Linked DNA regions of Mus musculus. The protein of the gene in region 1 interacts with the protein of each later gene in a biochemical or structural test. Links are inferred from orthologs where the notes say so. Each region holds a gene or a part of one and is shown in the gene's direction. Other genes may lie near its edges. The genes, in order: Rhoa, Kctd13, Smurf2, Arhgap35, Pld1, Mcf2 and Arhgap32.

Evidence for each region.
Region 2: of the proteins of Rhoa (region 1) and Kctd13, one has a biochemical effect on the other in vitro, tested with the Homo sapiens proteins (2 studies listed by BioGRID, with this or other methods). The link is inferred for Mus musculus from reciprocal best matches to the Homo sapiens genes RHOA and KCTD13.
Region 3: of the proteins of Rhoa (region 1) and Smurf2, one has a biochemical effect on the other in vitro, tested with the Homo sapiens proteins (3 studies listed by BioGRID, with this or other methods). The link is inferred for Mus musculus from reciprocal best matches to the Homo sapiens genes RHOA and SMURF2.
Region 4: the proteins of Rhoa (region 1) and Arhgap35 form a complex in vitro, tested with the Homo sapiens proteins (3 studies listed by BioGRID). The link is inferred for Mus musculus from reciprocal best matches to the Homo sapiens genes RHOA and ARHGAP35.
Region 5: the proteins of Rhoa (region 1) and Pld1 form a complex in vitro, tested with the Homo sapiens proteins (2 studies listed by BioGRID, with this or other methods). The link is inferred for Mus musculus from reciprocal best matches to the Homo sapiens genes RHOA and PLD1.
Region 6: the proteins of Rhoa (region 1) and Mcf2 form a complex in vitro, tested with the Homo sapiens proteins (2 studies listed by BioGRID). The link is inferred for Mus musculus from reciprocal best matches to the Homo sapiens genes RHOA and MCF2.
Region 7: of the proteins of Rhoa (region 1) and Arhgap32, one has a biochemical effect on the other in vitro, tested with the Homo sapiens proteins (3 studies listed by BioGRID). The link is inferred for Mus musculus from reciprocal best matches to the Homo sapiens genes RHOA and ARHGAP32.

The regions. Positions count from the first base shown.
Region 1 is NC_000075.6:108,304,834-108,308,959, forward strand, and holds the start of Rhoa (transforming protein RhoA precursor), read left to right. Parts: upstream 1-1,326; 5' UTR 1,327-1,720; intron 1,721-1,963; exon of another isoform or gene 1,964-2,243; intron 2,244-4,126. Other genes in the region: Tcta (T-cell leukemia translocation-altered gene protein homolog), read right to left, coding at 493-595, 889-1,111. UniProt on the Homo sapiens protein: Small GTPase which cycles between an active GTP-bound and an inactive GDP-bound state.
Region 2 is NC_000073.6:126,938,879-126,942,378, forward strand, and holds part of Kctd13 (BTB/POZ domain-containing adapter for CUL3-mediated RhoA degradation protein 1), read left to right. Parts: intron 1-2,454; coding exon 2,455-2,544; intron 2,545-2,632; coding exon 2,633-2,685; intron 2,686-3,268; coding exon 3,269-3,464; intron 3,465-3,500. UniProt on the Homo sapiens protein: Substrate-specific adapter of a BCR (BTB-CUL3-RBX1) E3 ubiquitin-protein ligase complex required for synaptic transmission.
Region 3 is NC_000077.6:106,844,216-106,847,715, reverse strand, and holds part of Smurf2 (E3 ubiquitin-protein ligase SMURF2), read left to right. Parts: intron 1-1,574; coding exon 1,575-1,733; intron 1,734-3,500. UniProt on the Homo sapiens protein: E3 ubiquitin-protein ligase which accepts ubiquitin from an E2 ubiquitin-conjugating enzyme in the form of a thioester and then directly transfers the ubiquitin to targeted substrates.
Region 4 is NC_000073.6:16,496,984-16,499,993, reverse strand, and holds part of Arhgap35 (rho GTPase-activating protein 35), read left to right. Parts: intron 1-417; exon of another isoform or gene 418-1,281; intron 1,282-1,304; coding exon 1,305-1,410; intron 1,411-1,983; coding exon 1,984-2,341; 3' UTR 2,342-3,010.
Region 5 is NC_000069.6:28,130,680-28,133,862, forward strand, and holds the end of Pld1 (phospholipase D1), read left to right. Parts: intron 1-834; coding exon 835-1,059; 3' UTR 1,060-2,683; downstream 2,684-3,183. UniProt on the Homo sapiens protein: Function as phospholipase selective for phosphatidylcholine. Implicated as a critical step in numerous cellular pathways, including signal transduction, membrane trafficking, and the regulation of mitosis.
Region 6 is NC_000086.7:60,176,290-60,180,374, reverse strand, and holds the start of Mcf2 (proto-oncogene DBL), read left to right. Parts: upstream 1-1,285; 5' UTR 1,286-1,468; coding exon 1,469-1,793; intron 1,794-4,085. UniProt on the Homo sapiens protein: Guanine nucleotide exchange factor (GEF) that modulates the Rho family of GTPases. Promotes the conversion of some member of the Rho family GTPase from the GDP-bound to the GTP-bound form. Isoform 1 exhibits no activity toward RHOA, RAC1 or CDC42.
Region 7 is NC_000075.6:32,255,803-32,259,302, forward strand, and holds part of Arhgap32 (rho GTPase-activating protein 32), read left to right. Parts: coding exon 1-256; intron 257-910; coding exon 911-1,896; intron 1,897-3,099; coding exon 3,100-3,500. UniProt on the Homo sapiens protein: GTPase-activating protein (GAP) promoting GTP hydrolysis on RHOA, CDC42 and RAC1 small GTPases. May be involved in the differentiation of neuronal cells during the formation of neurite extensions.

The DNA.
Region 1 (4,126 bases):
CCACTGCCTGGCAGAGTCTGAGTTGTCCTTGTTTTCTGGTGTACTGTGACCTCTGCCGTGTGGTAGAAGCTCAGAGATTAGCTGAATGAAATGTCCTGATAAGTAAGCTGTTGTTTTTAGAGATTAGGAGGTTGACTTGATGAGGTCGTATGCTAAGAATAGAGACTGTTAGGCTGGGGGTTATAGCTCCAGTGGTACAGTACTTGCCTAGAATAGATGTTCTTGCCTTCCTAAAGAAAGACTTCCCAACCAAGGGATTTGTTTTCAATAGACCTGGCACATCACCTTTCTGAAATTAAGGTAACACCACCATCCATCCCCACTGAACATGCTGATGAGAGGCTCTAAAGCCACTGGGAACCCCCAACTGGAATCCTGAGCTCTACCATTAGCCTTGAAGGATTCTTGCACAGCCACTAAGCTGGTGCACTCACATGCTGAGAGTTCTCTGCCTGTCAAGCATGGGGTTGGGATAGACAGAGATTTACTCACCATGAAGAGAAATGTGTGGAGCCATCAGGTGTGGATCCATTCTGGCCACCCAGACCTGGAGGCAGGAACACACCCATAGCTGCAGGAGGCTGAGGGTGGGGATCTGAGCAGGCAATAGCCCAGGTCAGGTCAGGGGCCACTGGTATAGTTTAATAGAGATTGAGGCTGGGATACTAGGGACTAGTGGTATTGTCCAGGAAGGGTTTTGAGAAACAGTTAACAACGTGATGATGGGCATGAGGGGCTTGTGGTGTAAAATGGTACGGGGTTGTAAGTCTGGGTACAGTGAGGCTCCTGGAGGACCAGTGGTAGTCTATGTGGACACAGGAGAACCCAATGGTACAGTATGGTGGTGGTAGGGACAGCCGGGCCAAGGAGGTTCGTAGGGAGCCTCACCTGGACGGTGATACAACCCGGTCACTGTGTTCCCGTAGAACCCCCAGGCCAGCTGGATGCCCAGGAGACTTAACACCAACCACAGCAGGAGCAGCTTGAAGAGAGTCACTCGCATGTCTTGTGTCTCCCACTCCCGCAGAAAGTCGCTGCCCAGGGTGCCCAGCGCTCCGAGCACCGTGGCGGGCAAAGCTTGCAGAAACTGCCCGGCCCAAGGCTCCGCCATGACTGGCCAGCGCCCCACCGGGAGTACTGTCACCGTAGTTCTTACTGCGCAAGCGTATGGTCTTCCGGGGTTAGGCCTGTCAGTGCGCACGCGTAATACAAGGCAAGGAAGATCTACTTCGCTTGCGCGAAGTGTTGGCAGTTTGGGGAGGGGTTTTTAAAACCGCGCAGGCGCACCCAGCCCCACCCTGCTTGCTTAAAGGATGAGTGATTCGGTGAGGATAAAATAGCAACTCGCTCTTTTATAGCCCCGGTGTTCCCGTCATGCTCCACGCGTCTGCCATGATTGGTTAAGCGTCTAGCTCTCAGGGCGTGGATGCGTTCTTGAGCAATCGTGGCTGAACTGAGAGTGTGCGCGCGTGCGCGGGGCCGCGACTGGCGCCAGCTCGAGCCCGCAGGGCGCTCGGGGCCGCGCACGTCGCTCCCCGCCCTCCCGCCACCGCCCGCCCTCGTTCGCTCGCGCTCCCCGCCCGCCGCCCGCGGTCCTCCGTCGGTTCTCTCCATAGCCCGCCGTCTCCCACGGAGCTGCCCGTCCTTGGCTCGGAGCTCGCGGACTCGCGGACAAGCGTCCTCAGCGCGAAGAGGCCGGACTCGGAGTCCTCGCCTTGAGGTGAGCAGGAGCATTTCCCTCCAGCCGCCTCGGCTCCGGGCCCGGCTGGTCGGCTGATCGGCAAGCACTTTTCCGGCCTCCGGCCCGTCGCCTGCCCGCGGTCGCGCCCCACCTGCTGCTCTCGGCCCGCAGCCCCTCGCCCCGGCCCCTGACCTGGGGCCCCGCGCCCGAGGCGGCGGCCCCGCCCGCGCAGTCCCCGGAAGCGCGCCCCGCCGCCTCCAGTCCCCCTTCCCCCGCCCGGCCGGGCCTGGTGGAGCCCTAGCCGCCCGCCCTCCTCGTCGCTTCCTCTCAGGGTTGCGCCGGGCTGGGCGGGGGCTCCCGGCCGGTCCGCGACCGCGCTGGGGTAGCCTGCCACTGCGAAGCGCGTGTGGCTGTCGGGAGTTGGACTAGGCAAGAAACTCTTTTACAACTCCATTTTGCCTTTTGCATTGAACGTGGATTATTAATCCCGTTCTATACCGGGTGAAGACAGTGAGGGTTTGGGTGGATTTTCTGTTTTGAGTGCCGTATTATTGGAGATTGTGTAAGTAAAAGATTGTTTTGAAATCTTAGCGGTTATGACTCTATGGGGGAAGGTATTTTCCAGTCGAAAAAACACATAATAATTTGGCGAGGTTGCATCAAAATAGATGCATTTCTGCTTAAAGTTATTACTTCAATTAAGAATCACTGATGGGTTCCCCTTTTCAGGTCGGTTTCGTAAAATTGCATTTTTTGCAGGCAAGTTGATTTAAAAAAAAAAAAGTTCATGTTTAGTAGCTGATAGTGGAAAATTTGACACCATTTTTTTTCTTTTTTGCCCCAGAATTGGTTCTACTTGTATTTTCTAATAGTCATCACTAAATTTTGACCTATTAGTTATTTATTTGGTTTTGTCTTCTGGTATATTTTGAAATAAGTGCTTTTTGCATGTTATATATAACATTATATATGTATAATATGTAGTACACGTATAATGTACATCCCCCATGCCAGTCTGAAAGGGGAAAACTTATATTTTAGGATGCGGTATGTGGTGAGAATTTTTAGCCACTTAGTGTCACGTGCCCAAATGTGTATGTACCATGTGGAATGTTTTTTTCACCTTTCATTGGCTAGTTTGAGCATTTGACTCACGTATTATTAAACTAAGAAAACAAGATCAGGTCTTAATATTGAAGACTCTGAGATGTTGTTTGGAGTATTTCTCCGGAGCAGTGACGTTTCTTAGGGACATAAAATATATGGAGCTTGTTTTTTTCCTATTTTATTTTCCTCTTTGGTGTTGGCTTGGGACACAGTGAACAGGTGCTGTATCTCTGAGCTGCATTTCAGCCTTACAACTTGGGATCAAACTCTAGTGCTCAACTTACATAGCTTCTACTCAAAAATCTACTGAACAGGAGAATAGGAACATCCACTCTACTGATTGTACCCCCAATAGATGTAGTATTTTAGACTGGGGAGGAAAAAAAAAACTTTAGGATTTACAAACCAATTCCGTTTGTAGGTGTGGGAACTGAGCTTAGGGAATTTTTTTCTCTTTCCTTCTGTGTGTGTGTGTGTGTGTGTGTGTGTGTCTGTCTGTCTGTCTCTCTCTCTCTTTCTTGAGAAAGGCTTATTACTCCGCAGAGAGAACAGTGGGTGTGATAATACCAGAAGAACCACTGACCTAAGACTTAATTTAAAAAAAAAAAAAAAGACACTGGGTCTGACCTGAGACCTGGAACTTAATTTGTAGATAAAGCTGGTCTCTAATTTCCACATGCTCCTAGTGCTGCCTCCGGAACAGTGCTGGGATCACTGGGTGTGTGCCACCATTCCTGCTGAGACTTAAAATGTTTGAAGGTCATACATCTAGTTAGACTACAACTATTTTTTTTTCTGTTATTCTCCATGTGCTGTCAGTTAAAATCAGAATTTCCAGGTTACTTCAGGTTCTTTACCATGCAGATTATGCATATTTGGGAAACAAATTTCATGTTTTTGTAAGTAGTTCCTTTCTGGCTAGGCCTTGCCTTTGAGTGTGTTGGTTTTCTTAAGGACCGGGTTTTGAGAGTTTACTGTTAGCAAAGATAAGGTAATGAGGTCCAGCTAGAATGTTTTCAAGACTCCTTTGAGTCAGTTTTAAATGGAATTGGTGAGAATTTGCATGTATCAAGTAGACCATGGTCTGTACATGTGTGAGAGTGGTTTTGTTGGAGTGATTTCATAGTCCTTTAAAAAGTCCATCTTGCTCTATTAGGGGTGTAAGTAAGTTACTAGAAGAGTGAAAACAGATCTTCAGAGCTGGGTGTGGTGGCACACGCCTTTAATCCCAGCAGGCGGATTTCTGAGTTCGAGGCCAGCCTGGTCTACAAAGTGAGTTCCAGGACAACGAGGGCTGCACAGAGAAACCCTGTCTCGGGAATAAAAAACAAAAACAGA
Region 2 (3,500 bases), on another chromosome or scaffold:
TGTGCCCAAATGGCCTTATCCCATCCTGAACCTAGTTCAGATTTTCTCTGCTTTGAGCTGCCAGTGTAGTGATGAGACTTGGACAATCTTGGGAGCAATGAATTAATGGAGCCAACCTTGAGAGAGCTCCCAGTGACTTAAGGCAGATGAAGCTAGTCATAAGACAGTGAGCTGTCCATTGTCCGTCTTCTCCTTTGCATTATTTTCTCTGGAGAAACCAGCTGTTGTGTTATAAAGACATTCAAGCAGCCCTACAGAGAGGTCCAGTGGCAAAGGTTAGGTCCCTCATGCAACAACCATGTGAACATAGCAGCCATATGTCTTAGAAAGTGATCCCTAAAAAGCAGTAGTGCTCTCAGATGCCTGTACACCCCTGCTGTGCATGCCTCATGGGAGAGCCTGAGGGCCTGAGCAGCTCACCAAAGAGGAAAAGGAACCGTAAAGACCTTACTTTAAGTGAGGCTGTGGCATTTGGGGCCATTTGTTACACAGCACAGAGAACAGGTGTGTGTCCTGCTTCCTGCGCTTTTCCTCAGCTCTCACCTGCCACACCCACAGGTTTCTGTCGGACTTTATTTTGTCTCTGTGCCAAAACTGCAGTTTCCATTATTTTGCCTTTGTAGTGGATCCTTATGCCTTACAGACTCACCGCTTCAAAACTGGCAGTAACTGCAGACTTCTATGCTTCCATTGATGTTTTGTTTTGTTTTGAGGTAGTTTTATTAAGTAGCCCAAGCTGCTTTCAAACTTGATAACCACTTGCCTCTGCCTCCCAAGTGCTTCCGTTACAGTATACACATTCCTGTCTTTGGTTGTTTTTGTTTTGAGACAATCTCAACGCAGAGTCCTGCATAGCCTTACACTCTGTATAGACCTGCACTGTGGCTCTGCTTCGCGTCTACCTCCTGTCTCCTGATTGGATGAACTTACGTTTCTCCTCTGTACTTTCTATGAGAGTTAGGTCTAGGCCATTCTCACAGACGCAAGTTTAAGCGGCCCTTGCACCTCAGCCTCTAGTAGTTGGGCCTTACAGTTCCATTTAAATTCTATATGTACATATGAACACTCATAAACACATACACACAAAAACCTCTTAGCTGGGCAAGGTGGCACAGGCTTTTAACCCTAGTACTTAGGAATCAGAGGCAGGTAGAGCTCTAAGTTTGAGGCTAACCTGGTCTACAGAGTGAGGTCTAGGACAGCCTGGGATACATGGAGAAACCTATCTGTCTTTTAAAAAAAAAATAAGTCTCAAAACCAATTTCTGGAAATTGTCTTAGACTGTGGCGTTAGAGACAGGCATTCCTCTAACATGTTTCTAAAGGGACATTTCAACATGTGGGACGCTGAGACAGGAGGATTGTTTTTTGTTCTGTTTGTTTTTGAGACAGGTCTCACTGTAGATCAGGCTGGTCTCAAATCCATGACATCCTCCTGCATCCACTTCCCAAGTGCTGGATTAGAGGCGTGTGTCACCGAGACAGCCGAGGCAAAGGACTGTCCACTCAAGTCATTTAGTAAGGCTGTCTCAGTATTTTAAAAGTTAATTTTTTATTTTTAAAAATGGTGCAGAGTAGCTGGGTGGTGGTAGCGCACACCTTTAATCCCAGTACTTGAGAGGCAGAGGCAGGCAGAGTTTGAGGCCAGCCTGATCTACAAAGTGAGTTCCAGGACAGCCAGGACTACATAGCCTCACACTCTATATAGACCTACTCTCTTTCTACTAAGAGAAACCCTGTCTCGAACCCCCCCCCCCCCCAAAAAAAAAAAAACTGGTATAAGTCAGCGGCAGTGTCCTCAGTGTCCTCGCTTGGGATGCCCTCACGGTCCTGGGTCCAACCCCCGGCCCTCCAGAGATAAACAACCTCGCTGTACTCAGTCATTCAGCAAAGTGTGCTTACACTGGTCATCACTGTACAGTCCTCAGGAGGCACATGTCAGAACAGACGCAGGCACAGACTTAAGTGCTGTGAAGAGAAGCAACCAATACTCCGAACCCAAGGAAGCTATGTAACTGCAGGAGTGGAACTGCCTGTGGGTCAGCATGCTGAGCTGCACACAGCTCAATGCAGCACACCCCTAGCAGGCTGACCCATGCAGTGTGTGCCTGCAGAACAGCAGGTTGGTAGGCTAAGGGTGGAGTTATGGGGAGGGCAGACAGCTAGACTCTTGTAGATGGGCCTTTGGGGACCTGCTGCCATGCTTGGACTTTCATGTTAATTTTACACACACACAAACACACAAAAAATAAACCTCTTAGCTGGGCATGCTAAATTATACACTAGCTGTACCACTGCACAAGACAGCCAGAGTGGCGTGGAGTGGTCACATCCTAGTGAGCCTTGGAGACATGGAAGAGTATTTTCAACCCCCAAACAGAGTCACACAGCCTTTATTTAAGTGGTGTGAGTCAACACCAGTTGTACTGCTAATCAACTTCCACTTCCTCTCCAGCAAAAAAGGGAGAAGCTGTCGCCACTATGCCTCATCCCCACAGTGACATCACCCCGGGAAGAGCAGCAGCTCCTGGCCAGCACCTCCAAGGTGAGGCCCTGGAGCCCGTGGGTTGGGCAGTTGTGATGGCTGCTTTTGTTTCCCAGTCTCTTGACTGCATCCTTCTGCCTCCCTACAGCCTGTGGTGAAGCTTCTACACAACCGCAGTAACAACAAGTACTCTTACACCAGGTGAGCGGGGGCGGGGCGGGGCGGGGCGGGGCGAGTGGGGGCGGGGCGGCTCTGTGTGTTTACAGCCACAGAATCCTAGGTTTGGCAGAGCTCTACTATTATATTCCATGGAGGACTGTGGTCATATGGAGAGACTGCAGAATGCCTGCCTGTTGAATGTCCCATCCCATCTGTGCCACCTGTCGTCAGTAAATGAGGTTCAAGCAAAGCCTGTGATAATAGTTAGCATAGGCTAGTCCCTTATTTCCCAACAGGATTGTTCTCAGTGTTGTCTGTTAATTTATCTGTGTTCCCAGTGGTCTGAGGATGTGTTGGTCTCCAACTAGAGATGATATTATGGCACCAGAGGATTACGTAACCTGCCTAATGTTGCCGAGTTAAAATGTGGCAGTGCTGGGGTGCCTGGTGACAGCCTGCACCAGGAGCCTCTGTGCTAGGCAGTAATTTGCCTTGCAAATGTGTCCCCTCAGAGGCCTACACAGTCAGAAGTGCCCTGCTGCACAAGACTGGGAATGTGGGCCCCACTGGGGGGAGCGGAGGGAAGGAAGACAGTCACCTAAAACCGCTTGCCCCTGGTTCTCAGCACTTCAGATGACAACTTACTGAAGAACATCGAGCTGTTTGACAAACTAGCCCTGCGCTTCCATGGGCGGCTGCTCTTCCTCAAGGATGTCCTAGGAGATGAGATTTGCTGCTGGTCTTTCTACGGGCAGGGCCGAAAAATTGCCGAGGTGTGCTGTACCTCCATAGTCTATGCTACGGAGAAGAAGCAGACCAAGGTCAGAGGGGGTTGGGGAGGGTGGGAGGGAGGACTG
Region 3 (3,500 bases), on another chromosome or scaffold:
GGTGTGTTGTGTTGTGTTGTGTTGTTTGATTTTGAGGTAGGTTCATTATGTAGCTCTGGCTGATATAGAACACACAGAAATTCACCTGCTTCTGCTGGGTTTAAAGGTGTGTGTGTGTACATGCATGTGTGTGTGTGTGTATGTGTGTGTACATGCATGTGTGTGTGTGTGTGTGTGTGTGTCTGTGTGTACATGCATATGTGTGTGTGTGTTTTGTTTTTTAGATGACACAATCTTGGTCTGTAGCCCAGGCTGGGCTTGAGCTTGCACTCTACCTATGTCCTCAGCCTCTGAGTGCTGGGATTATGTTATATGCCACCATGCCTCATGTGTTACTTGATCCTTATTAGTTGGCATTCTCTGGTCCTATGATGGGAATTTGGAAAGTTTTTCTAGAATTGCTTCACCTTTTTGAGCTCTCGGCTTGAGAAGTTCCAGGACTTTTTCCCCAATCTTGGTGCTGATCTCCCTCTTCCCAGCTGCCACTCAAGTCCCACTTGAGCGCACCCCATCGGGGAGTCCGTTCTCTGTTGAACAGAACCAAGTCAGTTCTTCGTTGTTATTGTGAACTGAAGGTTCTCAGAACTTTGCTTTGCCTCTTCTGTAGTGGTTCTCAAGCTTTAGTTGTTCTGCAGCAAAGGAGTGGCCAGGATCATTTTAAGCAGAAATCAGAATCATTATTTGAAGAAATCTCTAAGAGCTGGTAATGCCTCAGTGGACACTGTTCATCTTCGCCTGCAGCCTCCAGTAACTTGGACACTCTGGGATGGTCTCCTTCTGTAGAAGTTTTGCTCTAGCAGGACAGGATGAAAATCTACACTGCTGTTGCTGGTTCATAAACAGCCGGAAGGGAGCAGTACACATAGAACAAGGTTAGGGAGGGCCAAGATCTTCTATGCTTCTAGGCACCCCAACCCCACCAGCCACCTCAGAGCATTCAGCTGCGTTCTGTGTGGTCCTATATATCCTTATGGTGTGTGATACAGTGGTCCTTGTCTGCTAAAAGTACTTGATCTTTTCTTTGTTGCTACAATAAACCTTAAAACATTCTTCTTAAGTATCCTTACCAGGTTTTTCTTCATGAAATTTATAGACTTCAAAACTTTAAAACAACATATTTTGTTAAAAAAGAAATGTTATGATTATTTCCAGGATCAGGATTTTAGTAATGTTTCCAGTTTTGCTTGTTGAAGAACAGTACAATCACTCATTGCATGCACATTTGTTTACACCCAACTTTATGATATAATAAAGAAAGAAAATATTGAATAGAAATTTTTTATATGGTTGACGCTTGTAAAACAATACTTTCTGTCAAACAAATATTGAAGTGTAGTTTATGTTGGCAAGTAGTATGATTGCCAGACTGTGTGATAAGTTTTGATCCATTTAGGAATTGGGTGTTGAATGTGCAAGTTTGTGAAACCGTTGGGAATTAAAGATTCCAGCTGAGCATCTCAAGTTTCTGAAACAATACATTCTCTCAGACTTCATGGAATTGCTCTGTGTCACATACGCTGCTTGGCTCAGCAAGCCCAGTAATGAGGTATTTCTGTTGTATATTTGTTTTGCAGGGATCTTAGCAACATCAATTGTGAAGAGCTCGGTCCTTTGCCTCCTGGATGGGAGATCCGCAATACCGCAACAGGAAGAGTTTATTTCGTTGACCATAACAACAGAACAACACAATTTACAGATCCCCGGCTCTCTGCTAACTTGCATTTAGTTTTAAAGTAAGTTTTGAAGCAGTACATGTGAAAATATTGTTCTAAACAAGAGGATATATATGTGCTTTTTATAATGTGAAAGAATATGCAATCTCTTAAATTTACAATATTGATTTATATTTATGATGAGTTCTCAAGGGGATAGTCCAGGTTGGCTTTGAATTACTGGTGTGGCCTGACAGTTCTTCCTGCCACTGCTTCTTCAGTGTTTGGATTGTAGACATGAGCTACCATGCCTAGCTATAATTTACTTTTACTGATCAGAGTATATGAAAGAAAATGGGATATTTTATTCTGACGTAGTGCATATCTTACTTTCACTGTGCTCAAACAGGAACCAGTACTGAAATGTTAGAAGAAGTATGCATGAGAAGTGCTCAGGCAAGAAGGCTGTTTACAGAGGCTGTAGCTTGACCAGAAGCTGAGACTGAGCAGGCTACTTCTGTGTTGCCATCCTATTTCATACAGCTGATAACAGTGACTGACAGAAATCTCAGTAGCACTTTCTGTGTGTAAAGTGTTGTTCTTGCATGTATTAAGTTTCTTCCTGGTAAATATTTCTCCAGATGAGGGAACAAGCAGAGGTTGACTCTCTATAATTTTCCCAACTTGAAGTGCTCCTAGATTCAGACCTATCAGTGCTTTGGTTTCTGATCATGTCTGTACTGCATGGTTTTTGTACCACATTTGCATCTTTTACTTTGATTTCTCTCTAGTTGCCCATTTTCTCCCAACCTCATTACTTACTGGCATTGTCTTCTGAGGAAACAAGGGAGGAAAGGGAGCGTCATCATCAGGAAAGCAGCAGTGTGTCTTTGTCACCAGTTTTGGGAAAGATACTTGGGTAGTGGTAGAACAACAGACCGTGGCTTCTTTGAATCCTGAGAACAAAGTTGTATCCACAGAGTAACTCAATTTAGAATCTCTAAATAAATACTACCTGCTCTGCTTTCTTCATTCATTAATGTGTGCAATAAATATTGTGCTAAATGTTAGAATAGAATAAAACTAATAGAGGTCAGGGATGATTTTGGGAAATATTCTTGCTTCATTAATTTTTTTAGGGGTAGATTCAATAGGATAAATTAAATGAGAACTGGCTACTACTTGTTTAGAATAATACAAAAGAACCCATTTAATATGTGTCTTTGTTGCTGCTTTGAAAAAAATTGGGGGTGGGGAGGTTGTCTCTTTCCACCACCCTCCCCCAACAGGCTCTTCTTGATCTGGCCATTCTAGAACTCACCACGTAGACCAGGCTGACTTTGAACTCAGAGGTCCACCATTCTCTGTCTCCCTAGTCCTGGGATCAAAGGCGTGCGCCACTATGTCTAGCACTTTTAATATTTATGATTACCTTGTCAGAGTCATTATGTTAATAGACCTTGTTTGTTTGTTTGTTTGTTTTTCGAGACAGGGTTTCTCTGTGTAGCCCCTGTGAACATGATGGTATAGCTGTGCCCTAAATAAATAAATGAATGTATTAAAATATTTTTATTTTTCGTGGGTAGTAAGTTCAGATCAATCTTTTACTAACTCTATGAGCACTGGTAAACCCTTGTTAGTACTGACTTTATTTACCCATCTGTTCACCCTCCCTGGCCTTGATTTCCTTATGGGATACCCCAGTAAAGTCATGGGCCTAACACTTGGTTCGTCTTCTTTTTTTTTTTTTTTTGGTTTTTTGGTTTTTCGAGACAGGGTTTTTCTGTGTAGCCCTGGCTGTCCTGGAACTCACTCTGTAGACCAGGCTGGCCTCGAACTCAGAAATCC
Region 4 (3,010 bases), on another chromosome or scaffold:
TGGGTGGGTGGCAGCACCCTCCGTCTGGCCAGGAAGCAAGCAGTCTTTCTGCATCAGAGTGCCTGTCTCCAGGGGCAACCAATGAGCAAAGAATGGTGTTCTTTATGGTAGAATCTGTGGATGGTTCGTCTTGGGAGCTGGGGGGAGGCAGGAAGCCCAGGCACACAGTACTGCCCTTCAGCAGGGGCCTGGGACATAGACCCCAGTCCAGGTGTGCGGCCATGGGTGCAGGCTCTGGGCATGACAGTAGGATGGGACTGGCCTCCCGGAGGATTCCCAGAGCACACCTGGGCTGGCCGCCAGCAGCCACCTGTCTGTCCTACCAACTGCTCTGTATCCATTTGGTGTCCTCAAAACTCCCACCAAACTCAGCCCTGAAAGCCTTTCATTTTTCTTTCTTTCTTTTTTTTTTTTTTTAATTTTGTAATTATATTTATGTACAGAAAACTTAGTGTACATTTAACCCAGTGTAGTGCCGAGTTCTTTAGCCTTTGCCTTTTCCAGCTTGGCCATGCGAGCCACAGACTTAGGACCCAGGACGTTGCCTCCCCAGTGGCGACGGATCTCGTCATATCTGTCATTATAATTGGTCCTAATAGCTCCCACCAGCTTAGCCAGAGCACCCTTGTCTTCCGAGTTAACCTGTGTGAAGGCAACAGTGGTGCATGTCTTCCTGTAGACCAGGTGCCCCAGCCTGGCCTTTCCCTTGATGATGCAGTAGGGCACTCCCATCTTTCGACACAGGGCAGGCAGGAAAACCACCAGCTCAATGGGGTCTATGTCATGGGCAATCACCACCAGCTGAGCCTTCTTGTTCTCCATCAAGGTGGTGACTGTATTGACTCCTGCTTGGAGGACAGGTGGTCTCTTAGTTGGGACGTCCCCTTTGCCAGCAGCTTTCTTCTCAGCACAGATCAGTAGCCTCTTTGCTTCTTCTCTTGCTTTGTCTCTGGCCTGTACTTGTGGACAAGCTTAAGCAGCTGAGTAGCTGTCTGCCTGTCCAGGGCCTGGGTGAACGGGTTAATGGCAGGAGGGACTTTGAGCCACTTGTAGAGGATGGCTCTTTGCCGCTGCAGCCTGATGTAGCGGGGCCATTTGACAAAGCACATTAAATCTCTTTTGGGCTGGATGTCCTGTCCAGTGCCGAAGTGCTTGGGCCTCTTCTCGAACAGAGGGTTGATCACCTTCTTGGCCTCCTGCTTCTTGACGACGGCGGGGGCCAGGGCCACCTTCTTCCCCTTGGCCTTCTTCCCTTTGGGCATCTTGCTCGGCTGCTGGAGAGACCTTTCATTTTTCTCTTTCAGAAATCAACGACAGGGAACAGAAGCTGCATGCTCTGAAGGAAGTGCTGAAGAAGTTCCCGAAGGAAAACCATGAAGTCTTCAAATATGTCATCTCCCACCTGAACAAGTAGGTTTAGGAGCTGCTGGTTGTTTTTCCTCCTGTATAAGCAGCATGTTGGGTTAGTTAACTGAGGGAGAAGGCCAGCAGGGCCTGCCCTCATGTAGCATAGCTAGGCTCGTGGCATCCTTACTTTCCATTCTGGCTCTGGCTCCAAGTCTGTGGGGGGTGACAGGGTAATTTCTCTGGCAGGTGCTAGAGCCTTCAGAAACTTCACAGTATTAAAAATGCCAAGAGCTTCTCACAGCTGCTCCTCGTCCATGTCTCGGTGCTCGTGTGAGACAGATCACATATCAGGAGGGGTGCCTTAGGACAGAGCAGCCTGTCCTATGATGTGAGCAAAACCCTTTACTGATAACCAGGTTTAGCCACTCATGGTGGGACTGTTGGCAGAGGGATAGATAGTTTTTGGAGCCATGCACTAACTTCCTGCCCATCCCAAGCATCATCACCAATTTGGTTGATAGCCTGGGCCCTAAAGCTCCTTGAAGCTGGTGACAGGTTCAGGTAGAAGCTGGGCAGGCAGGGAAGACACCCCTGAGGCCCTGTGCAGATCTCACCTGCCTTTGCTGTCACCTACAGAGTCAGCCACAACAACAAGGTGAATCTTATGACCAGTGAGAACCTGTCCATCTGCTTCTGGCCCACGCTGATGCGGCCTGACTTCAGCAGCATGGACGCGCTCACAGCCACGCGCTCCTACCAGACCATCATCGAGCTCTTCATCCAGCAGTGCCCCTTCTTCTTCTACAACCGGCCCATCAGCGAGCCTCCAGGGGCTGCGCCTGGCTCCCCTTCAGCCATGGCTCCCACTGTTCCCTTCCTCACCTCTACACCTGCTACCAGTCAGCCATCACCTCCCCAGTCACCTCCTCCAACCCCTCAGTCCCCAATGCAGCCATTGCTGTCCTCTCAGCTCCAAGCCGAACACACGCTGTGAGCCACCACAGCCCAGGAAGCAGGAAAACCAATCGTCTTCTTGACAGGGTGGCATTTGGCCTTGAACAAAATCAGGTCCCCTGGGGTGGAAGTCACAGCCAAGCGCCTTTTTAAGACTTGAGTGGTGGCACTAGCCAGTGTCCCCCATGGCTGGGCAGTTGAGCACCTGCTCTTCACCTGCCCTGGCTATGGCTGTGGCAAGCTGTGAGCCCTCGCCTTGTCTGGGCCAATCTGAGGACTGAACTGACCAGATAGCGGCCCCATCACCCCTACTGCTCCTTGGACCCCTTGGCCCAACCTGTCTGCCTGCACCAGCGTCAGGCCCCACCATCGGGACATCACCCCAGCCTCTGCCAGGGGCAGAGGTAACCCCAAGCAGGGCTGGCCCCTCTAAAGAGGACATTTCCCAGTTTGTCCTTTCTTGTCCATACCTACACACACCTGCAGCGGGGGTCTGGGGAACATGTGGGCTATGGCTCTGCTACCCCGTAGGACACACTGGGTCACTGGCATGGCCCAACAGCACAGCAAGAGGAGAGCTTTGTGCCTATACCCAGTGTGTGGCTTTCCTCCAACCCCTTCCCAGACTTGTGATCCATTCCCTGCAGCAAAGGAACACTGGAAGAAAGATGGAGCTCCTCCACAGAGACAGAAAGAAACCACAGCAAGA
Region 5 (3,183 bases), on another chromosome or scaffold:
TTTATAAGGCTTATCATTTAGAAGAGGCATTAGTGATACCCTGTACCCTGTCCTCCATAGGATGTAGAGCTCTCATCAAACACATCAGGGGCATATGACCAACCAGTCATGAGAAGGTGGAAGCTGAAAACATTTTGGATATAATGGGATCAAGCTGGACATGACACGGTGGAATTTTGTGTCTTAGACACAGGGATGATGTTGATTCTGTAGGTACCTGTCCATGTTTTGATGCAACACCTTCTGAAATTCCCAAGGGTTTAGTGCTCTGATGTCTGAACCATATGTCAGTTAGCAAAGGGTTATACTTACAAACACTAAACGTGTTGCCATATGTGTCTTTCAAAGTGAAAAGTTAGAGAAAACAGAACTTGCAGTTTTCCCCTTTGACAAGAATCTCCAGTGAAATTTGAGTAGGGCAATTGTTTTAAAATTTCCATTTAAGCAAGTGTTCCTTACTGCTATCTTGACTTTATTCTGTGGATAATAGCACTGGGATAAGAATGTGGGAGTGGCCTTTTAAAATGGAAACAGATGAGCAGTGTTTTAGCAAAGAAAAGCTGCAACTAAGGTTGGTTGGGTTGGTTGAAACCAGGACTTACTACATAGCGCAAGCTAGTCTTACACTTGTAATTCTCCTGCCTCAGCTCCCATGTGCAGGATTACAGGCATGTGTCACTTCACCCAGCTGTGAACAGTAACCCATTCGGCTTGTGCTGTGACATAAAATGAATGTTTTACAAAACATTTTGCCTGTTGGAATGATTACCTTTCATAAAGAACCGGGGCTTGCCCTTAAGCAAGTGGCTCAGCTTCCAATTTGTATCTTAACAGGTCTTCCGGTGCCTTCCCAATGATGAAGTACACAATTTAATCCAGCTGCGGGACTTTATAAACAAGCCCATATTAGCAAAAGAGGATCGCCTTCGCGCCGAGGAAGAACTGAGGAAGATCCGCGGGTTCTTGGTGCAGTTCCCTCTCTATTTCTTATCAGAAGAGAACCTGCTGCCTTCTGTTGGAACCAAAGAAGCCATTGTGCCTATGGAGGTTTGGACTTAAACTGTTTGCAACTGAGGGTCTTCCAACCTGAAGACCACAGTTCATATATGTTCACTTCTAAGGACTTCACAGCCAGAGTTGGGCCTGATGCCTCCTGTCACCTACCCACTGGACTCCTTCAGAGTGGTTGGGTGTGGCAGTGGTCACCCTGATATAAGGACACTGGACATAAGCAGATCTTCATCATTCCCCCTACTTGTCCTTGAGAAAAACAGCTACGTTCTTGTCGATAGCATATGCTCAGATAACACCAAACACAGACACAAATTACATCATGTATTTCAAAACCCATTTCCTTTGCTAACAAGACTCTGCCTGTGACCGTGATCCATACAAGTTGCCAAAAGTTGCCTGAATGCTCTTGTTCTTAGGTTCATTTATGCATCTGGGGCCCACCTTGTCATCCATACAACACTGTTTAAGAGATTGCTTATTAATGAAAGATGTTGGAGAGCTGCTTTGATGGTCCTCAAGGATCTAGATGATGCCTGTACCCAACCTGATCCTAATGTGAGCATATCTACTAAGCCAAGACATTGTTCTTTGTTCTTTTTCAGTCACTGTAGGGACAGAACAGGCTTTGCCTACCTAACTACATACATTAAGCACTTCTAAGGACATCAATACTGTATCTTAATAACAGGAAGGCATTAAATCCTAATACTGAAGAAGGATTTCCCTCTGTTCCCAAAGATACTGCCCAGCTGTGTCCTTGTCATCTGATAACATTTGTCAACATGTGCAGCATATGTCAAAACATTGTAACCAGATACGCACAGATGGGACCTCCAAGATGTCAGTGGGAATCCAGTTCAGATAAAGGACAGGATTTCTGTCTGTCTGAAGAATCCATGTCCTCCTTAGCCACTGGATTGACAGAACCAAGTTGATTTTCTCCATTATAAGGCCAGTGGATGTAATTTGTCTTTCAAGTGAATCAAAGGCTTTACCTTCAGTTTTCCACTATACCTTCTTTAGGGGAAAAGGCAATTGATTATACAAGACCTCTACTTTGCTTGAACTGTTAACCATGTTGTATCATTCCAAGACAGCTCCCAAAGAAGCTGAAACACTAACTCACATTGTTCCGATCTGAAATGTGGGTATCCACGCTCCCTCTCAGCTGGTATTATGCCCTTTGTAGACCAAATTTCAGAGCTCCTCTTGCATCCTGGGAGGGTCTACAGGTTCCTGGAAGCCTGGGACTTGTGCATACGAGGTACCTATGTGATTGTAAACAAAAGGGATTGCTGGAGTAAAATTTCCTTTAAGGTGCTCTTCAAAGCAACTCCCAACCCATGTTTTCATGAATAAACGTGCTGGTGTAAAAATGACACAGGACCACAAAGCCAGTGATATAGGTTAGTAACAGAGTGACAGTTATATCCAAGGGAAGATGTGTCATCCCTGAGGAACATTGTACAAATGAGGTAGGATTTGTAATCAACAATGGAAATTAACATGTTTTTATGAATAAATAACTTATTTCTTATATGGCCAAGGATGGTGAAATCATTTCATTTTGTAGTTTTAGTGAATAAGACACTTTATGCAGATAAAGATCTGATTATATTTAAGATATTCAGTGTATGTGGAGTACCTGAAGGCTTACTGTGTTTCATTTAAATTAAAAAAAAAAAAACCTTAAAGCAGTAAAAAAAAAAATTGGTTCTTGATTTTGTACAAAATGTTCTCATTAGACCATAAAGGTCTGGCACAGACCTATAATAAATCATTTACTTTAACCCTCCCCATGGTACAGCAGAGGGTTACATTGGAGGAAGTAATGATGTAGACCTGCCCATCAGATGTACAACAGACTCCTGCACCCAGTGTTAGTCTCTCCTCACTTCATTATTACCCCAGACGAAGGACATGGAGGTTTCAGACAGGGCGTCTTCTGCTCTTTCGAATCCTGTAATCTGTGTTTCTTTGTCTCCACTACTAGAATGGTACCTGGACACGGCAGAGACTTCATAGGTTGTTTAGTTTGTCTTCAGACTCTGAAACAGTGCCTAGTACAAAGGACATGTGGGTAAATGTTTGTGGAGTGAAAATATTATACAGGAGAGGGAGCTGATGAGCTGCCACACTAAGTTTTAGGACACGCGTCCCACTGCTGGT
Region 6 (4,085 bases), on another chromosome or scaffold:
TCTGAGACAAGGTTTCTCTGTGTAGCCCTGGCTGTCCTGGAACTCACTCTGTAGACCAGGCTGGCCTCAAACTCAGAAATCCACCTGTCTCTGCCTCCCAAGTGCTGGGATTAAAGGCGTGTGCCACCACTGCCCGGCTTCTATAGCTTTTCCTTTTTTTTTTCCAGATTATAATTTATTTACCAGATTTCTTTTTTCCCCCTTCCCTCCCTCCAGCCCCTCCCCCCTACCTCCCTGCTAGCCCTTCAAAGTCCTGCTGCTCTAGCTTTTGTTATGAGCAGCTAGCTTTCCCTTACTCTTCCAAAGCTTTCTTCTGGGGAGCTTTGGGCTTAGGAGAAGGGATTGGCTGGGACCTCCCATCCTTTCTCACTTGGTTCTTCAAGAGGATGTCTTGTCTTGCTGCCACCCCCCCCATTCCCCTGGTCAGTTTGTTGTTATTTTTCGTTTTAATTGCGTATGTGATGTTTTTGAGACAGGATCTTTTGTAAGTAGCCCAGACTGGCCTGGAATGGGCTATGTCGCTGGAGATAACCCTGATCCTTCAGAGTCCATCTCCTACCCAGAAGTGCACACTAGGAAAACACTCTACCAACTGATCTGTATGTTCAGATTCGACTTTGGTTATTATTTATTTTTGTGCATAACATATGTATTACAGTGCATGTAGAGGTCAGGGAACACTTATGTGGGATCAGTTCTCTTATTATACCATAACTTACACAGGGTTCCTTTAACCCAGGTTGATCCAGCAAGTGTTTTTTACCTCACAGTCTTCTCAGTAGCCCATTTCTATTTCCTCCTTTCCTTTTTAAAGCAAGTCAGGAAACTTGGGCGAGTGCAGGCTGGTGGGGGGCAGGGTGGGAGAAGGCACATTCAGGCTAGAGCTCCAGCCCTTTTGGACTAACCAGGGCTGCTTTTCTGGCATCAGCAAAGCTCTCCAACAGTGTTATCTGCAGGTGCCCACACTGTGTATCCTTACTCCACTCCTGCCCTGCCCTGAGAAGCAGGATGCAAAGGAAGAAAACTCTTGACTCCAGCTCCCACTGCCTAGAGTGAGAGGTCGGGCGGTCTCCTCCCTACACGTGCTCCAGCCTTCCCTACCCCTCCGCGGGCGTATCTGTGGGGGCTGTCCCCTCTGGTTCTCGGTGTCCCGCCCCTGATCCATCCTGTTGGAAACTAGGCGGGGACGTGGGTGTACATCCACTCCGAGCGGAGTTGCTCAACTCTCAGTAGCTGAGGTCAGAAGTGCTCTGCAGCCAGAGTCTTGAAATCTCTGCAAGTTTCTGGGCTCCCTGTCCTGGGGCTTGTTGGTCCCAGCTAGGGGGCTCTAGTCTTCTAAGCCACTGAGCTGCGTAGACTGCGACCCTTCTGGCCGCGTCTGTGCTTGCACAGACGGGCTGCTAGCGAGCCAGAGTCCGGCAGTGGCCAGTTGAGGTTGGGGTCACCAACTAGCGAGTCTGGCTTGAGGATGGCGGAAGCAGGGCCCCCTCCAGCAAGGTTCCCTCCAGCAAGGCTCCCTCCAGCAGGGTCCTCTCGGGCTGGGCTCCCTCCAACAGGGTCCCCTCCCGCTTCCACTCCGGCCCTGGCCTCGCAGTGGCTGGCGGTCAAGCGTTTGCCTAGGGCTGCCGCCAAGGCGCCCAATCTCCAGCTGAATCAGGACCACTGTTCTTTCGTGCCGTTCACGCAGGCGGTCCCGGTGCAGGTGGACATGGCCATGGCCCTGCATCGCGTTAGGATCGCGGAGAAGTACGGGAAGAACTACCTCTGCTTGCTGCAGGCAGTCTTCCTAGCAGGTGAGTACCACATCCCTGTGCACTCCCACTCAGTTGCCTGGAACACTGGGCTCTCTCCCCTCTTCCCGGCTCCCTCCTCAACCTGTTCGGGTAGGGGATGTCTGGTGCACTTTGTCTTCTCTGCTCTCTCTCTCTCAATCAACCTCTCTCTCTCTCTCTCTCTCTCTCTCTCTCTCTCTCTCTCTCTCTCTCTCTCTCTCTCCCTCCGTCTCTGTCTCACTCTCTCTTTCTCCCTCTCCTTTCCCTGCCCCCATTCACTCCATAATCCACCCCCCCTGCTGTGGCACTCCTAGTTTAGAGCCGCCCAGACTGTGGACCTCAGTTCCTCAGGCCAGCTGCCACTCTGAGGATGTGTGTGGCTCTCTGCTCAGCTCAAGCCCCGCAGGTGGACCCCCAGAAGCCCGCCATGCAAGGTGAGACTGTTCCAGGTCTCTTCCTCACTTCCCACCACCACCCACCTGGATGCCTCTTGGTGGAGTTGGGAATGTTAAGGGAGGAATCTTCCTACACCGCATTCTGTACCCTAGAGCGGAACCTTGCTGAGGAGGAGGATGCAGATGCACTTCCCTGTAACACTCCCTGTAGTTTTTAAAGCGAGGTTTATTTACTTGTGTGGGTGGTTGCTGTTTGTTTCACGTACGCGTGCTAGGGCCAAGTCAAAAAGGCGCTTGGATTCTGAAAGCCGCGGGCCTGAAGTTGGAGGAGGAGTTTGCAGGCAAACTGCGGTCAAGAATTTGGGTTTTCTCACTAGGACCGCCACTTCTTTCCAGCCTGGTCCTATGAGCTTCCTGTCTTCCTTCAGCTCTTACTACAAAGGCGAAAGGCTCTTTCTTACTTGCCTTGGAGGGACAAAACCAAAGCTAACAAATGTCTTAACTGCTGCCACTGTTTTGGTAAAAAGCTTAAGAGTAGTGAGAGGCGGCACTTGATGTATACATATTGAGCTAGTCGGAGTTGCTTGGCTTTGGACTCTTGGTGTACCGTGAAGCATGCAGAGGCTCCTAAAATTTAAAGTTCCTCTAATACCATTAGCAGTCCAGGAATATCCGCCAGGTGCTGCAGCTCTGGCCATGTCTTTTGTGCGTCTGTGGTGCTTGCTTACCCTGCGGTGTTCCTTGTAATGGGAATTTGGGAATTAAAAACTAGACATGGTGTAGTTTTTCTTTTCTCAAATCAGGTAGCCACAGTGTGTGTTCCAAATTCCTCTTCTTGTTTGAGGCTGTCCACGAATTGGAAGGAGGTCACGTCGATGACTTCGGTTAAACCACAGGAAACCCAGGGCTCTGTCTAAAGCTTGGTAACAAAGAACCCTTTGGTCTTGAGTATTTTGTTTGGAAGCGGTCAATGTTATTTTCTGTATGTAATAATAAATCATTAAGGGAAGTGTGGGAGTGGGGCACACACTTTTTCAGGGTTTCAGGGCAGTTTAAATGGATGTGGGAGGCAAAAAAAAAAAAAAAAAAAAAAAGGAAGCCTGTGCACAAGTCGTGTGCAGTGGGGGCTAAAGATCAACTTCGTAGAAAAAAAACACATAAAAAATGAAACAGTCTCACTTTGTAGCTCAGGACCAGCTCCAAATAATCCTCAGTGCTGAGAGGGCATAGGTACATCCTCATGTCTACCACCACTCATAACACATAGGCACTCACATGTACACACACACACACACACACACACACACACACACACACTTGTATGGATACGAGAGAATGAGGTGTTCTGGGGCCTGTGTGTTGGATGCTAGGCAAATGCTCTACCTCTAAGTTACAATCCTGGTGGGAAAATGCCACAAAAATGAAATACAAAGGGATGATTCTATTGCCAGGCATTTCTTTCTTTGTTCTCAGTTCATTTTCTTGATCCTTGGAAGTTTCTAACATGCTGCCACTGTGGCATGGCAATACATCCTAGCACTCTGTTGTGTTTTAGTGGAGGTGGGGGTGGGGAGAGGGATACAGTAGTGGGGTAGGGAGACTGGCAGCTATTTGTGTTCAGGTATTTTTCAGCAGTTACCACCATGTCCCTGCAAAGATAAGTATATCTGTGGCTGGGACACACCCTATAGGATATTATAACTTTATGTTGTTGTTGTTGTTGTTGTTGTTGTTGTTGAGGTGGGCATTTAAAAAACTTGCCTATGTTGCTTTTGAGCTCCTGGTTTAAAGGATGTGCTTCAACCTCTAGAGTAACCAAAATTACAGGTTTGTAACCCCGTGTACAGCTTGGGACTTATTTTGCTCTTTTCAAAAATACACTGTTTTGTTCTCTTTTTAGTGCGTATATGTGTGGGAG
Region 7 (3,500 bases), about 76 Mb from region 1:
AATACTGTAGCTCAGAATGCATCACCTACATCTTGGGACAAAAGTGTGGAAGAAAGAGATGTCATAAATAGATCCCCCACCCAGCTGCAGCTAGGAAAGATGAAAGCAGGTGAGAGAGAGGCACAGGAGACCTGTGAACCAGAAGCACAGCCCCTGGAACAGGGGGCAGCTGAAGAAGTAGAGTTGCCAGGGACAGAGGAGCGGCCTGTCCTGAGCAGTCAGAGCAAGGCTGTACCGTCTGGACAGAGTCAGACAGGTACTGTTTGTTCTCCTCCGTTCCTTCTCTAAGCTAAAAGGGGTCTTCCGTCCTGTGTGCCATCTGTGCCTTTTAAGAGAGCCTTCTCCACAGCTAGGCTAGAATCAAAGAATGTTTTTCTGAATGGTGCTGAGGGCTCAAAGCCCTAAACTAAAATGAAGCAAACAAAACTCCCCAAAGGGCCCATGGTCCTGCTGCGAGCCTTCACAAAGGACCCCTTAAGTCTCTGGACAGTCAGGATTCATGGATAATTTTTGCACAACTGTGTAGCTCTTGATTCTGTTTTCTCTTCTAATGCATATTCTATTCTAGCCTTACAAGTTGACAAGCCAGTGTAGCAGTACCATCACAGTCTGAGCACTGGAAGCTTGTGCTCTAAGTGACCTTTTCTAAGTCAGTGGAGGCCTGCTTCCCTCCACCCTCTGTAGCAGTTCAAGAGGACTGGCAGCCTTTAACACTGTGGTAGTTTCCCTTTCAACCAGATGTGGTTTCAGCAGCATTTGCATGTGGGATAGAAGATCATGGATTGCAATTTTGAAATATGGAAGGCATATTTTTATGTTTTTAGTGATCACATGGGGAGTGTTTGGCTTTCCGTATAGGGTAACATAAGCTACCTTTTCATTCTAATTTTTTTTCCCAATTTCCCACTAGGAGCAGTTACCCATGACCCCCCTCAGGATCCCGTTCCTGTCAGTTCAGTCTCTCTTATCCCACCACCACCGCCTCCGAAAAATGTCGCCCGAATGTTGGCACTAGCGTTAGCTGAGTCTGCACAGCAAGCCTCAAGTCAGACACTGAAGAGACCAGGGGCTTCCCAGGCTGGGTGCACTAGTTATGGAGACACGGCAGTCGTTCCATCTGAAGAGAAGCTGCCTAGTTCCTACTCTAGCCTTACTCTAGATAAAACCTGTTTCCAAACGGACCGGCCAGCAGAGCAGTTCCACCCGCAGATCAATGGACTCGGAAACTGTAACCAGCCTCTCCCTGAGGCAGCAGCTATGGGAGGTCCCACCCAGTCCAACACAACTGACTCTGGGGAGCAACTCCACCAAGTAGACTTAATAGGGAATTCGCTACATCGAAACCATATATCTGGGGATCCAGAAAAGGCTAGAAGCACTTCAGCTCCCTTAACAGACTCAGAGAAGTCTGATGATCATGGAAGTTTCCCTGAAGACCACGCTGGGAAGAGCAGCGTGTCCACTGTCTCCTTTTTGGAGCAGGACCAGTCTCCACTCCATTTCTCCTGTGGAGATCAGCCCCTCTCTTACCTTGGTACCAGTGTGGATAAACCCCACCATTCCTCAGAACTTACAGACAAATCTCCCATGCCTTCTACTTTGCCTAGGGACAAAGCCCACCACCCTCTCTCTGGGTCCCCTGAAGAGAATTCCAGCACAGCCACCATGGCTTACATGATGGCAACTCCAGCAAGAGCGGAACCGAGCAACAGCGAGGCCAGCAGGGTCCTGGCTGAGCAGCCCTCGGCTGCTGATTTTGTGGCTGCCACCCTTCAGCGCACGCACAGAACTAATCGGCCCCTCCCTCCACCTCCTTCCCAGAGGCCTGCAGAGCAGCCACCAGTTGTGGGGCAGGTACAAGAAGCACCAAGTATAGGATTAAATAATTCCCACAAGGTAAGCTAGAGAGGAAGTCAGTGAAGTAGTATACTTTTCCCAAGGTATGCCATTCGGTAGGATGTATTATCTTTTAGTCAGATGCGTGTCAGTCAGGTGGCAGATTTCCATGGAATCTGCCATTTGAAGCAGGCGGTCTCTGCCTGTGCCTGGCTATTGGCTTTGTGTAATGACAGAGCAGCCCCTGGTGACTGCAGCTTAACTATCCTTGCTGCTTCTCCTTCCTTCCTGAAGCACTGAGCTCTTTCACGGGGACACACTGACAGAATGAGGCAGAGGGAGCCCAGGGCTGCAGTAGTGATTGTCTTTTCCAGCTGCCTCACTGTTCAGGTGACTGAGAGTGAGTCATGTGACCACCTTGTGACTACCCAACCCTTGATGTCTGTATTGAAGGTACTTCATCTCCAGGGCTTTCAGAGGTCTAAGGAGTGATGATATCTGGAGTTCTTGTTATTTCCCTGCTGTGAGCAGCTGTGTTGCATAGTTCAAATGCCTGCGTTGGGGGGGTGGGAGTGCTAGATACAGAGTGCCAAAGAGTTTTCCTAATTCCTACAGGTTTTGTGGTAACCTTAACCAAAAGGAGTTAAAATTCTGGCCCTTCCTGGAGGGTACTAGCTGTAGAACTTACCTCTCAGGGACAACATATTTTATCTGTGGGCCCACTGACAGGATGGACAAAACGCAGAGGCAGTAAGCCCTCACATGCTGCCACTGCAGACAAGTCACTTTGAAACTCTTCCCTGTATCTGGAAGTTTAAAACTGCTTGCTACATGGAACTGAGTCACTCTGAAACTCCTGCCAGCTGATAAAATCAGCTGCTTTCATTAAATAAAATCTTCTTGGTGCTGAGACCAATAGGTAGGATGTTTATTTTTTTTAGGCCCAGCACTGGTTTTTTTGCCTAATCCTGTCATTGGTTCTGCACATTAAGATACCATTGTAGGCAGTCTCTCTTCACATTTCAACCCTAGCAGGAGTTAGCAAACACTACACATGTCTCCATAGGTAATAGCGTACTGTGTAGACACACACATACTCTTTTTTGGGGGGCTATGGGTCAGGTTCAGTGTAACTGAAGAGCTTGGACAAAGTTTGAGCTGTCACCCAAATAGCCTGGGTTTGCCCCTTATAAATGTATTAGCATTTAGCTTTGAGGGGTTGGTGTTAAACAACAGACTCTTAACATCGCTGTCTTCCCACAGGTCCAGGGAACGGCTCCAGCTCCCGAGAGGCCACCTGAGTCTCGGGCCATGGGTGACCCCGCACCCATCTTCCTCAGTGATGGCACTGCTGCTGCCCAGTGTCCCATGGGCGCCTCTGCTCCTCAGCCTGGACTGCCTGAGAAGGTTCGGGAAAGCAGCAGGGCTCCACCACTCCACTTACGTGCTGAGTCTTTTCCTGGCCATTCCTGTGGCTTTGCTGCCCCAGTTCCCCCAACACGGACAATGGAGAGCAAGATGGCTGCTGCCTTGCACTCCAGCGCTGCAGATGCCACCAGCAGTTCAAATTACCACTCCTTTGTCCCTTCGTCAGCCTCAGTGGATGATGTGATGCCCGTGCCACTCCCCGTCTCACAGCCTAAGCATGCTTCTCAGAAGATAGC